Linked DNA regions of Caenorhabditis elegans. The protein of the gene in region 2 purifies or fractionates together with the protein of the main gene of each other region. This does not show direct contact. Each region holds a gene or a part of one and is shown on either strand. Other genes may lie near its edges.

Region 1 (7,948 bases), on a different chromosome or scaffold from region 2:
AAACTAATTCTGAAAAATTCGAATTTTGTGCGTCAAATATGATGCTTTGTGCAAAAATTGCCGCTCGAAAATTCAAAATTTGGCTCAGAATTGCTTCAAAAAATCGATAATTTTACCCAAAAGATCGATAATTTTCTCAAAAAAAATCGATAATTTTCTCCAAAAAATCGATATTTTCCCGAAAAAATTCGATATTATTCTCCAATAAAATCAATATTTTTCTTCAAAAAAAATCCATAATTTTTTCCAAAAAATCGATAATTTTATCCAAAAATCGATAATTTTCCCCGAAAAAATCAATATTTATCCCCGAAGAAATCAATAATTTTCTCCAAAAAAATCGTTATTTTTTACCCATAAAATCGATAATTTTCTTTTTAAAATTCAATAATTTTATCTAAAAAAATCTATATTTTTAGCTGAAAAATCGATAATTTTATCCAAAACAACTATATTTATTTCCAAAAAAATTGACAATTTTCTTCAAAAAATTTGATACTTTTTCTTCAAAAAAATCGATAATTTTATCCAAAAAAATCGGTATTTTTTCTCCCAAAAAATCGATAATTTCATCCAAAAAAAGCTATATTTTTCCCCGAAGAATCGATAATTTTATCAACAAAAAATCGATAAATGTCTTCAAAAAAATCTATATTTTTCTCCAAAAAAAAACAATATTTTTCTCCAAAAAAAATCGATAATTTTCTCCCTAAAAATCGATAATTTTATATTTAAAAATCCATAATTTTATTCTAAAAAATCGATATTTTTCTCTGAAAAATCGGTAATTTTTTTCAAAAAAAAAAACGATAATTTTCTGCAAAAAATTTAATATTTTTTCTCCGAAAAAAATCGATAATTTTTTCCAAAAAATCAGTGATTTTTTTCCCAAATAAAATCGATAATTTTCTATTAAAATAATCGTTAATTTTCCCCGAAAAATCGATAATTTTTTCCAAAAAATCGATAATTTTCTCCAAAAAAAAACTATATTTTTCTCCAAAAAAAATCGATATTTTGCAGGATCTCGAACGTGAAGAACGAAAAAACTATGGATCCGGAAACCGCGACTACGAAGCGGAAAAAGCTGCCGAGAAGAAGGAATGGGAGTCGAAAATGGGAATTCAGGTGTATTTCGCGGATAATACGAACGATTTAAACAAGAAAAAAGAGTGGTACGAGGAGCTGCCGCTGCGAAGAGCCGCCGAGCCACTTGATCGACGAAAAGCGCGCGATGCTCTGCCGTGTTTGAAGCGGAAAGAGCTGGAAGAGGAGAGGAAGCGGAAACGAGAGGATAGTGATAGTGAAGAAAAGGCGAAGAAACGGCATAAAAAAGACAAGAAGAAGAAGAAAAGTGCGATTTTTGGGCTTTTTTTTTTTTGAAAATTTGCGCGTCAAATATGGTGCTTTTTCCGTCAAAAACACGGGCAAAATCGTCGAAAATCGGTGGCCGAAGTTTACCGCGGCCACATAAATTTTCAGACAATTTTTTTTTCTGCTCGAAAATCACAAAAATTCGAAAAAACTTTAAAAAATTTTTTGCCCGTCAAATATGATGTATTATAGACGCGCAAACTTGTCATGGCCGTCAGAAAAAAAAATCGGTGGACGAGTTTTCTCTTTTTCGGCCACGGATTTCTGGCTTCCCTCATAAATTGAAATGGAAGAGTTTCTGCCGAACTAGGCCAGGCCATATCTGGGGTAGATTTACGGCGCGTTGCGTGTCGCGTCGCGGCTCGATTTTAGTTGTAAAACTAAATGTATTTGTCCGTGTGGAGTACACGACACTTTTCCACGCGTTGTCCAGCAGGCTATTGTCAATGGAGAGTGAAAAATTGGTGGCCGAGTTTTCTCTTTTTCGGCGGCCACAGAGCTTAAAGCATCACATTTGACGCGCAAAATTGAATTTTTCGAAAAAAAAAACATTTTTGCAACAGGTTATGATTTTTTGTCCCTGGAAATTTATTAAAAATTCTGGCGGAAAAAGAAAAAAACATCCAAAAACACCTTTTTTTGCGCGTCAAATATGGTGTCTTGCATCATGGCCGCCAAAAAATTGGTGGCCGAGTTTTTTTCTTTTCCGGCGGCCATGCGCAAAAATTTAAAGCTAAATTTTTCGAAATTTTCAGCAAATTTTGGGTTTTTTCTCCAGATTATCCAAATTTTTTAGAATTTTTTGAGTTATCGACTTTTTCGGCGAAATTTCTTGCGCAATCCCAAAAATTCAAAAAAAAAATCAGTTTTGTGCATCGAACCACCACGGGGTTCTGGCCTTCCTCATTGAATTTTTCGCGCTCCATTGACAATCGCCTGCCGGACAACGCGTGGGAAAGTCGTGTACTCCACACGGACAAATCACATTTAGTTTTACAACTAAAATCGAGCCGCGACGCGACACGCAACGCGCCGTAAATCTACCCCAGATATGGCCGAGCCAAAATGGCCTAGTTCGGCAAAAACTCTTCCATTTCAATTTATGAGGAAAGCCAGAAATTCGTAATTTTTTTTCGAAAAATCTGCTTTTTGTCCAACTACGGTTTGATCTACCAAAAATGCGGGAATTTTTCGCCCAAAATTATATGACGTCAGTACGTTCTTAACCATACGTTGATCTACAAAAAAATTCGAAAAATCTCTTTTTTCGCGCCTCCAATATAGGGTGCTCACCACTACAAACTACAAAAAAACCCCCCAATTTTTCTTCCAGAAAAGCACCGCCACCGTGATAGCTCTGAAGAACGTCAACTCGAAGAGGAATACGATCGAGAACGACGGCAGAAGCTGGCGAGCATGCGAGACGAGCGTCTGAAACGGGAACGAGTCGAGAAAGCGAGAGCCCATGCTTTGCTACATCCCGAGGAAATTGAGCTGCTGCAGAAACGAAAAGCCGCCGAGGATTCGGAGGAGAAGCGTGGAAAGAAGAAAAAGTACAACTCGCAATTTAATCCTGAATTTTTTAGGCAATAATTTGGTTTTTTTCCCCGTATTTTTCCCGTATTTTTTAATGTAAATTTGATCTGTTTTCCCGCCAAAGTCTAATAAATTCCATCAAAAAATTTTGCAACTTTCGTTTATTTTTCCGTCATTTGATACCAAGTATTCGATTTCATACCTATATACCTCATGACGTCACTTTTTGCAGAATTTCTTTAGAGTTTTTCGAAAAATCCTGGTGTCTTCATTCAGTGTGCCTCATTTTGGTCTGATCTACGTTGATCTACAAAAAATGCGGGAAAAGAGACGCAGAGTTCTCAACTTATTTCGTATGGTTAAGAACGAAAAATCCCGCATTTTTTGTAGATCAAGCCGTAATGGGAGAGCCTGACACCACGTGTCCGAGAGGAGTACACAATTTTCCAATTTTTTAAGGTTTTTTTTCAGCTAAAACCGATCTCGATAGGATGCCGATCACTTATCCACGGAAAATTTGGATTGTTCGACACGCGGAACGGTACTTTTAAGAATTCAAAAAAAAAATGAAATTTTTTGAATTTATTGATTTTTTCGGTTAAAATCTGAAATTATTGATTTTTCGAAAAATAAAATCAAAAATTATTGATTTTTTGGGGAAATTAAAAAAGTACTGATTTTTCGAAAAAAAAAACAATGAAAAACAAAAATTATTGATTTTCTGTTAAAATCAGCAAATTATTGATTTTTTCTTGTCAAATTCGTAAATTATTGACTTTTCGATAAAAATCTGAAATTATTGATTTTTTGGTGAAAATCGGAAATTATTGATTTTCCGATAAAAATTAGAAAATATTGATTTTTCGAAAAAAAAATTAAAATTATTAATTTTTGGTGAAAATCAGAAATTATTGATTTTACGGTGAAAATTAAAAATTATCGATTTTTCTGCGAAAGGTTGAAATTATTGATTTTTCGATGAAAATCAGTAAATTATTGATTTTTATCCAAAGTCAATAATTTCTGATTTTTCGGTGAAAATCTGAAATTATCAATTTTTCGGTAAAAATCTGAAATTATTGATTTTTTGTGAAAATCACAAATTATTGATTTTTCGATGAAAATCTGGAAATTATCGACTTTTCGAAAAAAAAAATGAAAATCTGAATTTATTGATTTTTCAGTTAAAATCGGTAGTAATGATTTTTCAACAAAAATCAGAAATTATTGATTTTACGGTGAAAATCAGAAATTATTGATTTTTTGCATTGCAGCGAGGACAATATCAATCGAAATTGGCGTAAACTCGACGGAGCCGACGGTCTCACGTCGGACAATTCGATGCTCAGCGTGCGCGGTCGGCAACAGGCGAAAGAGTGCAAAAATCGGTTCGAAAATGCACAAATCTCGCATACGTTTGCCTCGCCGTTCGATCGGACAATTGAGACAGCTTCGACGATTATTGAGGATAAAGGAATGAAAGTGAAGGCGGACGGTGGCCTTTGTGAGGCACTTTATCTTTGTGATAAGCCTCCTGGATTCTGGGAAACCGACAAACTAGCTGAGAAATTTCCGCTTGTTGATTTGGACTATATTCCTGTTTTCTCGAAGGTATCGCTCAAAAAAGACCGAGATTAGAATTGCGCCGTTGCCGGCGCTGGCGCACTGCGTGGAAAAATCAAAAGATGCCGGCGGCGGCGCTGGCGCACTAATTAAAAAATGAAAAGGCGCCGGCGGCGGCGAAAAATGGTTTGCGCTGCCGCCGGCGCTAGCGCGCTACGTGGAAAATGAGAAGATGCCGGCGGCGGCGCTGGCGCACTGCATGAAAAGATGAAAAATGCCGCCGGCGCTAGAGCCCTACGTGGAAAAATAAAAAGATGCCGGCGGCGCCGCTGGCACGCTATGTGGAAAAATGAATGAATTCCGGCGGCGGCGCTAGCGCGCTACGTGGAAAAATAAAAATATGCCGGCGGCGCCGCTGGCACGCTATGTGGAAAATAAAAAGATGCCGGCGGCGGCGAAAAATAGTTTGCGCGGCTGCCGGCGCTGGCGCGCTACGTGGAAAAATGAAAAGATGCCGGGGGCGGCGCTAGCGCGCTACGTGGAAAAATAAAAACATGCCGGCGGCGCCGCTGGCGCGCTACGTGGAAAAGTAAAAAATGCCGGCGGCGGCGAAAATAGTTTGCGCGGCTGCCGGCGCCGACGTGCTACGTGGAAAAATAAAAATATGCCGGCGGCGCCGCTGGCACGCTATGTGGAAAATAAAAAGATGCCGGCGGCGGCGAAAATAGTTTGCGCGGCTGCCGGCGCCGACGTGCTACGTGGAAAAATAAAAAGATGCCGGCGCCGGTGCTGGCGCTATAGTTGGAAAAATGAAAATATACCGGTGGCGGCAATCGCTGCGAGACCTAGAAAAATTACCGAACTTTTTTTTCAGTACACACTACCCCGCGAAGGATGTGGAGATGACGCGTGTGTGCCACGTGTCGGAAAGACCCTGCGGGCGATTTTCGAGAAATATGAAGGTAATTTTTGCGAAACTACGTAAATTTCTGATTTTCGCAGAAAAATCAATAATTTCAGATTTTCACAGAAAAATCGATAATTTCTGATTTTAGCCGAAGAAATCAATAAATTACTGATTTTAACAGAAAATCAGTAATTTATGATTTCAGCCGAAAAATCAATAATTTGCCAATTTTCACATAAAAATCAATAAAAACACGCCGCAAATTATCGATTTTCTTTCAGGAAACCTCCTACTCGTCGGCCACGGAGCATCAATCGGCGCTTGCCACGAAGTGCTAATGGGCGATTTCAAATACGTCGGGCAGGCTACCGTATCCGAGTTCGAAGAGACGGCGCCCGGAAAATATCGGCACAATTATAGCTCCGACTCGTCTCATTTGTCGGATAAGAAGAACTTGAGGCCCTGGTAGTTGAGATGCTTCAGTCAGAAATCGCTGTTTTAAAATAATTTATATTTCCATACCTTTTACGACTTTTATAAGTATATATTCATAGCTTAATTCTTTTTTCTGAATTGATTAGCTTCCAGGAAACCGGAAAAAAATTAATAAATCGATTTTCTTTTCGAGAAATATGGATAGCAAATATCGATTTTTCAAAAATTCGGGAAAAAAAAGAAAATCAGATTTTTTGAACATTTCAAAGAAATTAGGAGAAATATAATGAATAAAACAAAGAGATTTTTCCGAAATTTTCGAAAAATCAATACACGGGGTTTTGGCCTTCCTCATTGTATTTTTCGCGCTCCATTGACAATCGCCCGCCGCACAACGCATGTGAAAGTCGTGTACTCCACACGGACAAATCACATTTAGTTTTACAACTAAAATCGAGCCGCGACGCGACACGCAACGCGCCGTAAATATACCCCAGATATAGCCGAGCCAAAATGGCCTAGTTCGGCAAACTCTTCCATTTCAATTTAGGTAAGGTAAGCCAGAAATCAATCGATTTTAATTTTTTTTTGTTTGAGAAAATCAGAAAATCAATAATTCCATTTTCTCGAAATGTTTCTTCCTATTTTCCACGAATTTTCTAACAAAATCCCCGGTCAGGAAGCGATGGCAGGCACGTGTTGTCAAAGTATCCCATTTTGGTGTGATCTTCGAAAAATGCGGGAGAAGAGACGCAGACGTTTCAACTAAGTTCGCATGGTTAAGAGTGTGCTGACGTCACATTTTCCTGGGGGAGATATTACCGCTTTTTTTGCAGATCAAGCCGCAATGAGACAGCAGGCAGGAAGCAAGATTTCGGAAATAATCCAGGGTTTATAAAATTCTTCATTTTCAAACCCAGATCACTTCAAATGCTTTTCCATATTCAAAATGGAGAAGAACTATCCAGGTCCCATCACACTTTGCTGACTCGCTTCGAGAAGGAGAACGGTGAATTGCTTGGTCAACTCAACCGACTTCTTGTAGATGTATTTGTTGCTCAGTGTTGGCTTTTTATCCCCTTCTGCTGGTTTTGTCACTTTCTTCTGTAAATTTGAGAATTATTCTCTCATTTTACAAGAATTCAAAAACCAATACCTTGATGAAGTAGAGCAACGAAATGTACAGGGAGCAGTACTGACAAAATGAATCCACGGCTCTTGGTCTCTGGGAGCGAATCGATTTGACAATATCCGCAATACATGGTTCGGCAAGCTTTGTATCAATTGTGTTGACTGCAACCGCAAGTGCCAAAAAGTAGCCAGCTCGTCCAGCTCCACGTGGTGAGACGATCATCGCATGCTCGTCAGCGGGTGCTTTCAGCAAGAAGTAGTTTAGACCAAGTGCCTCTTTGATGGCGATTGCTTGTTTCAAAGGCACAGTGTCCACTTTCCAATTGCTGATAACAGTCACATTGCAGATGATCGAGTTGGAGCATCCGTGGGGCACTACTTCAATTGCAAATCGGTACACATCGTCATTGACATACTCGACACGGCGGTTATTGATCCACATCTGACCATAATTTGTATAATCTTCTGCCTTTTTAGGGAAGAATTCGATGGTTTCATCGCCGACGAGTAGATCAATGTGAGTGATTCGCTTGTCGAACACAGCTTTCCAGAATGTTTCTTCCGTATTCGTGACCGGAGCTTGACCGAGATGAACATTTCTTCCCAATGGAACATCTACAAGACTGATGTTCACATAGTCTTTGCCAAGTTTCACGAGATTGGAGTCCAAGGCAGGAAAGTCTTCCGATTGGTTAAATTTTGGGTTGGATTTCCAGGTTTTACAGTCCTTCTCCACATCGATTTTCTGTGATTGCAGTTTATCGTATTCCTTTTTCACCTCTGCTGTGTCTGAAAATTTAAGATTTGAAAAATACTACAAAATATCTAAAACCAGCCGTTCGCACGCGCAAAGCGCGTGCTCCGACTGGCTCCACATTAAATTGTTTGAACAAATCTCTTCCTCGAGCTTCGCGGAATTTTATGAAAATTCTAGAAGTTTTTAGTATACTCTAGAAAGATGTTTTCAGAAGATTCTAAAAAAGTTCTAGAAATTTCCTGATC
Region 2 (5,761 bases):
TCGAGCAGAAATTGTGGAGCATCAGATTTGATTGATGACGTCATCTAAATGTATTATTATGTAGTAGTAAAAGAAAACAATTTATACTAATAAGTTTGAAAGCCGACTGCGGAATATTAAAAAGATTGTGAAACAGAATAAAATGTTTTGATGAATACACTTAACAAGCAGACGATGCCAAAACTAGGAGTTGTTGTGTTCTAATTAGTAATGAACTATTTTTCAAGCGCCTTGTTTATAAAAATATTGATTAAAATGAAATTTAAAATCAAAGCAGGTAACCAGTGGAAAATTAAAATTGTTCTTATGAAAACAATTTGGAACTAGAGATTTGGTAAATTATCAATAACCGCAGTAGTCGAAAATTGAAACAAACAATTGGCTTGATAATTGTAGTTTATGTATGATTGTCGGGGCGATAGATAGTAAAATTAACCGACGTGTGTGGTTCAACAAGTAATCTGGGAATAGAAATCAAATTCAAACTTTTTTGGGAGACATTTCAGAATTGAAAAAAAACAATGAATGCGAGATTTTTATCGGGAAGATAAAACAGTGTTATACGATACAACTACCAGAAAATTTGAAGTAATGTTTCAAAAATATGGTAAAGCGCCAAACAATTTTTATCTAATTCTCAACAATCTACAGATATTTAAAATTTTCACGGTACCTCCTAGATTACATCATTTTCAAAAAGTACAACACAAGCGCAACAAAAAAGTGGAAGTGTTTAAAAAGAAAAAGTATCAGCACCTGTTAGATGGTAAAAACATTAGTAGAAGATACTCACAGCCTCACACTATATGGGTGTCTGTCTCGAGAGGAAAGTGGCAAATAAGAAGAGGAGGAGTTGTAAAACATCTGCTCTGTCGCTGGGGGTACAATACCACCGCCCATATCATACTTTTTTTCAAACTCCCTTTGCCGGCGGTCAGTAGGTCAACAGAACACCATCGTTGTAAATCAGAGAAGAGTCCATAAAAATATTAGGACTGTCGTGGGATAAAGAGGAATCATTGGGATTTACACCTTTTTGATATTACCTTGTTGGCAAAATTTGTCAGGAAAATAGGTCTCAAAACAACACATTTTTGTCAATTGACAAAAAATTAGGAATGAGAAAATTAGACGAAATATGGAAATGTCAGAAGATTGGAATTTCGGTAGAAACTACGGAGAAGAAGTTAAGGTACTTTTGAAACACACACTCGTTTACTTTCATCATAATTTTGCCACTTTTGTAGATGAAACGATTCTTGATAACAAAAAAAGATTTGCAAAGGAGGAAAACCAAACCTTGAAGTTTTTGTTTTGTTCTTCGGAAGTTGACTTTTTGTTTTATCTTATCCAGACAACCTTGAATTATAGAATTTTGGTACAATGTTGGCTTCTGCCTTCAAGTTAGGCTTTGGCCGGCTTTTTCCGGCGATGAAAAAGTTTTTGAGTCCGGGACAAGTGAAATTGACAATCAAAACTGTTGAAAACTGCACCGTGCAAAGCGTACAGAATAGTAAAAGTGATTTAAATAACCTTTGTAATGCATTTCTTCAGCTTTTAAGAGAAATTTCAATTTTTGCAGTTGATAAACTCAACTACTCTGAAATTGAGATTTTTTTTGAATACCCCTTCATGGAATTGTGGGAAAAGTTTCAGAGAAAATTGTATTTTTCTAACAGGATTGTTCAAATTTCATCATAAAAACTCAAAGTTGGAAAACTCAAAACTCAAAATTAACTAAAAATATTTACAACAAACAGACAAACGGAACAAACTTTCATATTGTTTGAAATATTAGAAATTGAAAAAGAATTCACTCAAATATTGAAAATCCTCATATCTTTTTGGTGAAACAGAAAAAAAATTGACTTCACTGTTTTTTAGAATTATTATTACTGTTAGTTATTTAGAAACACTACTCAATTCGAAGTTGTCACATCACAAAAGTTATGTTTTTCAACAAAAAAAAAAGAAAAATAGAACGTTAATAAAGCAATTTAAGCTTAAAAATGAGATCAAACCTATTTATGATTTCGTGATGATATTGCACAACTTTTTTCTTAAGTTGAACGTTTTTATAACAGTTTTTAGCTCAGCAGCAATGAAAGGAAAATTTTTTATCATTTCTCCACTCCAAAGTTATTATTAAAAAATCATGAAACCCAAAATAAGACAAGTACGTCACACGGTAGTGGGGTGGGATGATAAGTTCAAAATCACAAAGATATATTTGTCTTCAACTAATTAGACTTTTACGAAATGTGACTGGTGATTGATTTCTTCAGAAAGTCAGCATGGAAAGCAAAACTCAAAGTTGACTAAAAATATTCACAACAAACAGACAAACGTAACAAACTTTTATATTTTTAAAAATAAAAGTTTAAAACTAGAGAAAGAATTCACACAATAATTGAAAATCGGTATATCTTTTTGGTGAAACAGGAAATAAATTGACTAAAAAACATCACACTGTATTGAACGCGATCCGAGACAAATAATATTTCAGATTCTCAAAAAAGAAAATTAAAAATTTCCTCAAATTGAACTAAACTACGTCAACCTAAACCCTACACATGACACCAGAGATACCCACCGTATGCTGCTAGGGTCACTCTTCTTGAACCCTATCTTCCCGGAAGTGTGCCATTGTTGTTATTTTTGAATGGAGATTAATTACAGAGCAGGTGTAATAAGTCTCACTTTTTGATTTCTTAATTGGGATGACTTCCTGATACATCGGAACAGGCAGGTGTTTAGAGGCCAAACTACTCCACCTTTAAAACTGAAAAAAAATGAATTCGTTATTTTTATTTTCAAGATTTTTGTTAGAAATAAAAATAAAGAAAAAGTTTAAATAATTTCCCGTGTGAAAACGTGAAGAGGTCATTAGTACATCTTGATAAGAAAGGGTATAAATATTTGGCGAAAGCCGTAATAAAATCAGTCTTCAGTACCAAACAACCAACAACCGAAGCTACAACATGTCCCTCACTGCCGATCCACCAGCCTGCACTGTCCCAGCTGCCGGAGGATCCTCCACCCACAAGCTCGTCAATGGTGGAGCTGAGAAGATCATCTTCAAGATCAAATCATCCAACAACAACGAATACCGCATTGCCCCGGTGTTCGGATTTGTCGATCCAGCTGGATCAAAGGATGTTGTGATCACTCGTACTGCTGGTGCACCAAAAGAGGATAAACTTGTCATCCATTTTGCACCAGCACCAGCTGATGCTACTGATGCTCAAGCCGCTTTCGCTGCAGTGACTCCTGCTGGAACTGTCACCATTCCAATGTCGGCCACCGCCTAAAATAGAACTTTCCTTTGTGTAAAGATGAAAATAAAGTTTTTTGACGAGCTCATTTTTTGTTGTTTTCTCGGTCCTTCGTAAGATTTTTTTATAAAAAGATACCAAGAGTATACATGAGATATGAAGAAATACATCGAACTAAAAAGTCTGGAAATTTGAACTTTAATCATTCTTCTTTGCGGTCCTTACAATTTCTCCGAAATTCTGATTTTCGGAATTTTTTTTGGGAGAAATGGAAAATTTGCGCATCCAACTCGATCTTATTTTCAATGCAAAAATATTTTTGAGATATATTTTTTCCAGTTTTCCAGTGTTTTTCCGCTGCAATTTCTTAGAAGTCTCACTTTTCAATTTCTTAATTTGGATGACTTTCTGATACATCGGAACAGTCAGGTGCTTAGAGGAAAAAAAAGAGACTTGTATTTTTTCAAAGAATTACTACAATACTTTTTTCAGTTTCAAGAAATCGAGAAGAATACTTGGCTTGGGCAGTCAATTCATTATAGAATTTTGATTGTCATTAAACGCTCCGAATTTTTTTACCGATTGTAATTGTATAATGCTAATACCTAGCTAAACAGATTTTAATAAGATTGTAAATCTTTCAGGCAAAATCTAACAGTTTTCAATTGCTAAAAAGTGTTCAAAGCAGACTGGGAGCCGCCTCAAAAAGCTGTCAATGCGAATTTCACAGATTTCCAAACTTTTAAAACTGTCATTCATATACAATTGAAACAATATATATAAACCTAAAATACCGCCAAAAGAGTTCCCGATATTTGACAAGAACTTCGCACCCAATTGAGTTGAGGCGAGTCGATTACGGTAGGAAGGTGTCAATTGCACCTTGTCTTGGCGGTGAGATTAGAGGATTTGAGTGAGGATTTACTGTATAGTTACTTATATATTTGTAATAGGTTTTGTAATTAGGAATTAATTTCAATAATGTCTACCAACCAGCATAGTTGGTACAAATTCATTTTTGCCATCTCCAATTTTTTTGATAATGGTCGAAAAGATTCATGTCACTATTGATTAGATGTGAAGGAGGTTTAAGGTGCTGAAACAATTTTAGTTTACTCTCCACGGCTGGACACACAATTTTTTTCTGCATCAGATTTTTTCAGATCCAAAACTGTTGTACAGGCTCACATGCTTGAGGAACTCTCTCGCAGAAGTGATAAGAGGCAGCAGGGGTGCGCGGCAGTTGCCGACCGGCAATTCTACAAAATGAGACGGTTGGGCATGTTCCTCAGATATTTTTCATTAAAATTTATCAATGCAATTTAGAAAAATATTCGCTTTATTCGAAAATAACTTTTATTTAATTTTTAAATACCAAGAAAGTGTTCAAAAACTGTCCGAAAGTTGAGAATTGACGATGAAAATTGCCGTCAATTTTTTGGCAATTTTCACCGGTAATTTTCAACTTTCGAACAATTTTAAACACTTTCTCGGCTGTTCCAAATCAAATGAAAGTTATTTCCAGACAGAGAAAATATTTTTCCACATTATCTTTTTAAATTTTAAATATCGGGGAAAATGCCCAACCGTCTCATTTTGTAGAATTGCCGCGCACTCCTGGGAGGCAGTTATTTTCAAAAATATTAAAAAAATAATAATAAAACGCAAAAGTTGGAGACCACGGTAGTACTGAACTGTAGGATTACTGTAGTGTAAAAAAGTGTAACTACTAAAAACTTCAAGCAACTTCTGAAACGTCTGGGAAATGATGGCAATTTCACAATATTTCCAAACTTTTCAGATTTAAATGACGTTCTCCTGTCTTACCCTGAGATAGTTGTTCACGATGAGAATCACCAATCAATTAAATTTGTTTTATTTGAAAAGAAGAAACATTCAATAATGGCTTACTAGCCTTTGCTACGGTATTGTTATCTGTTCGTGTAAAATATGAATTGTAATTTAAAACCGACTTTCTACTGTTTATTGGCTATAAAAGTTCAAAACATTCCAATATTTTCTTCTTACTTGGGTGCAAAGTATGCAGATGTGGCACCTCCTCCAGCTCCTCCGCCGCCTCCGGCTCCCATGTACATCGATTGTCCGGGGATTCCACCTCCGCCACCGCCTGAAATCAAATATTAAAAAACTTGAAAAAGTCATTTTTTAAAGCTACCTCCAGTCTTGGCACCTCCAGCAGCTCCTCCACCAACTCCGAAGTAGGCAGATTGGCCAACAGCACCTCCACCTCCCATAACTCCTTGTCCAACTCCGAAGTACCCAGACGTGGCTCCACCACCTCCTCCGCTCATTGATCCGGCTGGTGGTGCGGCTCCAAGAGCAGACGCTCCACCTCCTGGGGCTCCGACGGCGGTCATTGTAGATGCTCCACGGGGGGCTCCGCCGACAGCAGTCATGGTGGAAGCTCCGCCTGGGGCTGCCCCAACAGCTGTCATCGTAGAAGCTCCAGTTGGTGCTCCACCGAC

Evidence for each region.
Region 1: the proteins of ssp-11 (region 2) and Y18H1A.4 fractionate together in Caenorhabditis elegans (co-fractionation; one large-scale study listed by BioGRID). This does not show direct contact.

The regions. Positions count from the first base shown.
Region 1 is NC_003279.8:690,084-698,031, reverse strand, and holds Y18H1A.4 (Histidine phosphatase family protein), read left to right. Parts: upstream 1-3,381; 5' UTR 3,382-3,401; coding exon 3,402-3,451; intron 3,452-4,184; coding exon 4,185-4,521; intron 4,522-5,347; coding exon 5,348-5,435; intron 5,436-5,661; coding exon 5,662-5,849; 3' UTR 5,850-6,012; downstream 6,013-7,948. Other genes in the region: Y18H1A.2 (CBF1-interacting co-repressor CIR N-terminal domain-containing protein), read left to right, coding at 1,024-1,354, 2,708-2,967; ptp-5.3 (Tyrosine-protein phosphatase domain-containing protein), read right to left, coding at 6,776-6,919, 6,972-7,735.
Region 2 is NC_003282.8:4,997,035-5,002,795, reverse strand, and holds ssp-11 (Sperm-specific class P protein 9/11), read left to right. Parts: upstream 1-2,981; coding exon 2,982-3,311; downstream 3,312-5,761. Other genes in the region: Forkhead box protein pes-1, read right to left, coding at 1-44; ssq-2 (Sperm-Specific family, class Q), read right to left, coding at 5,300-5,403, 5,452-5,761.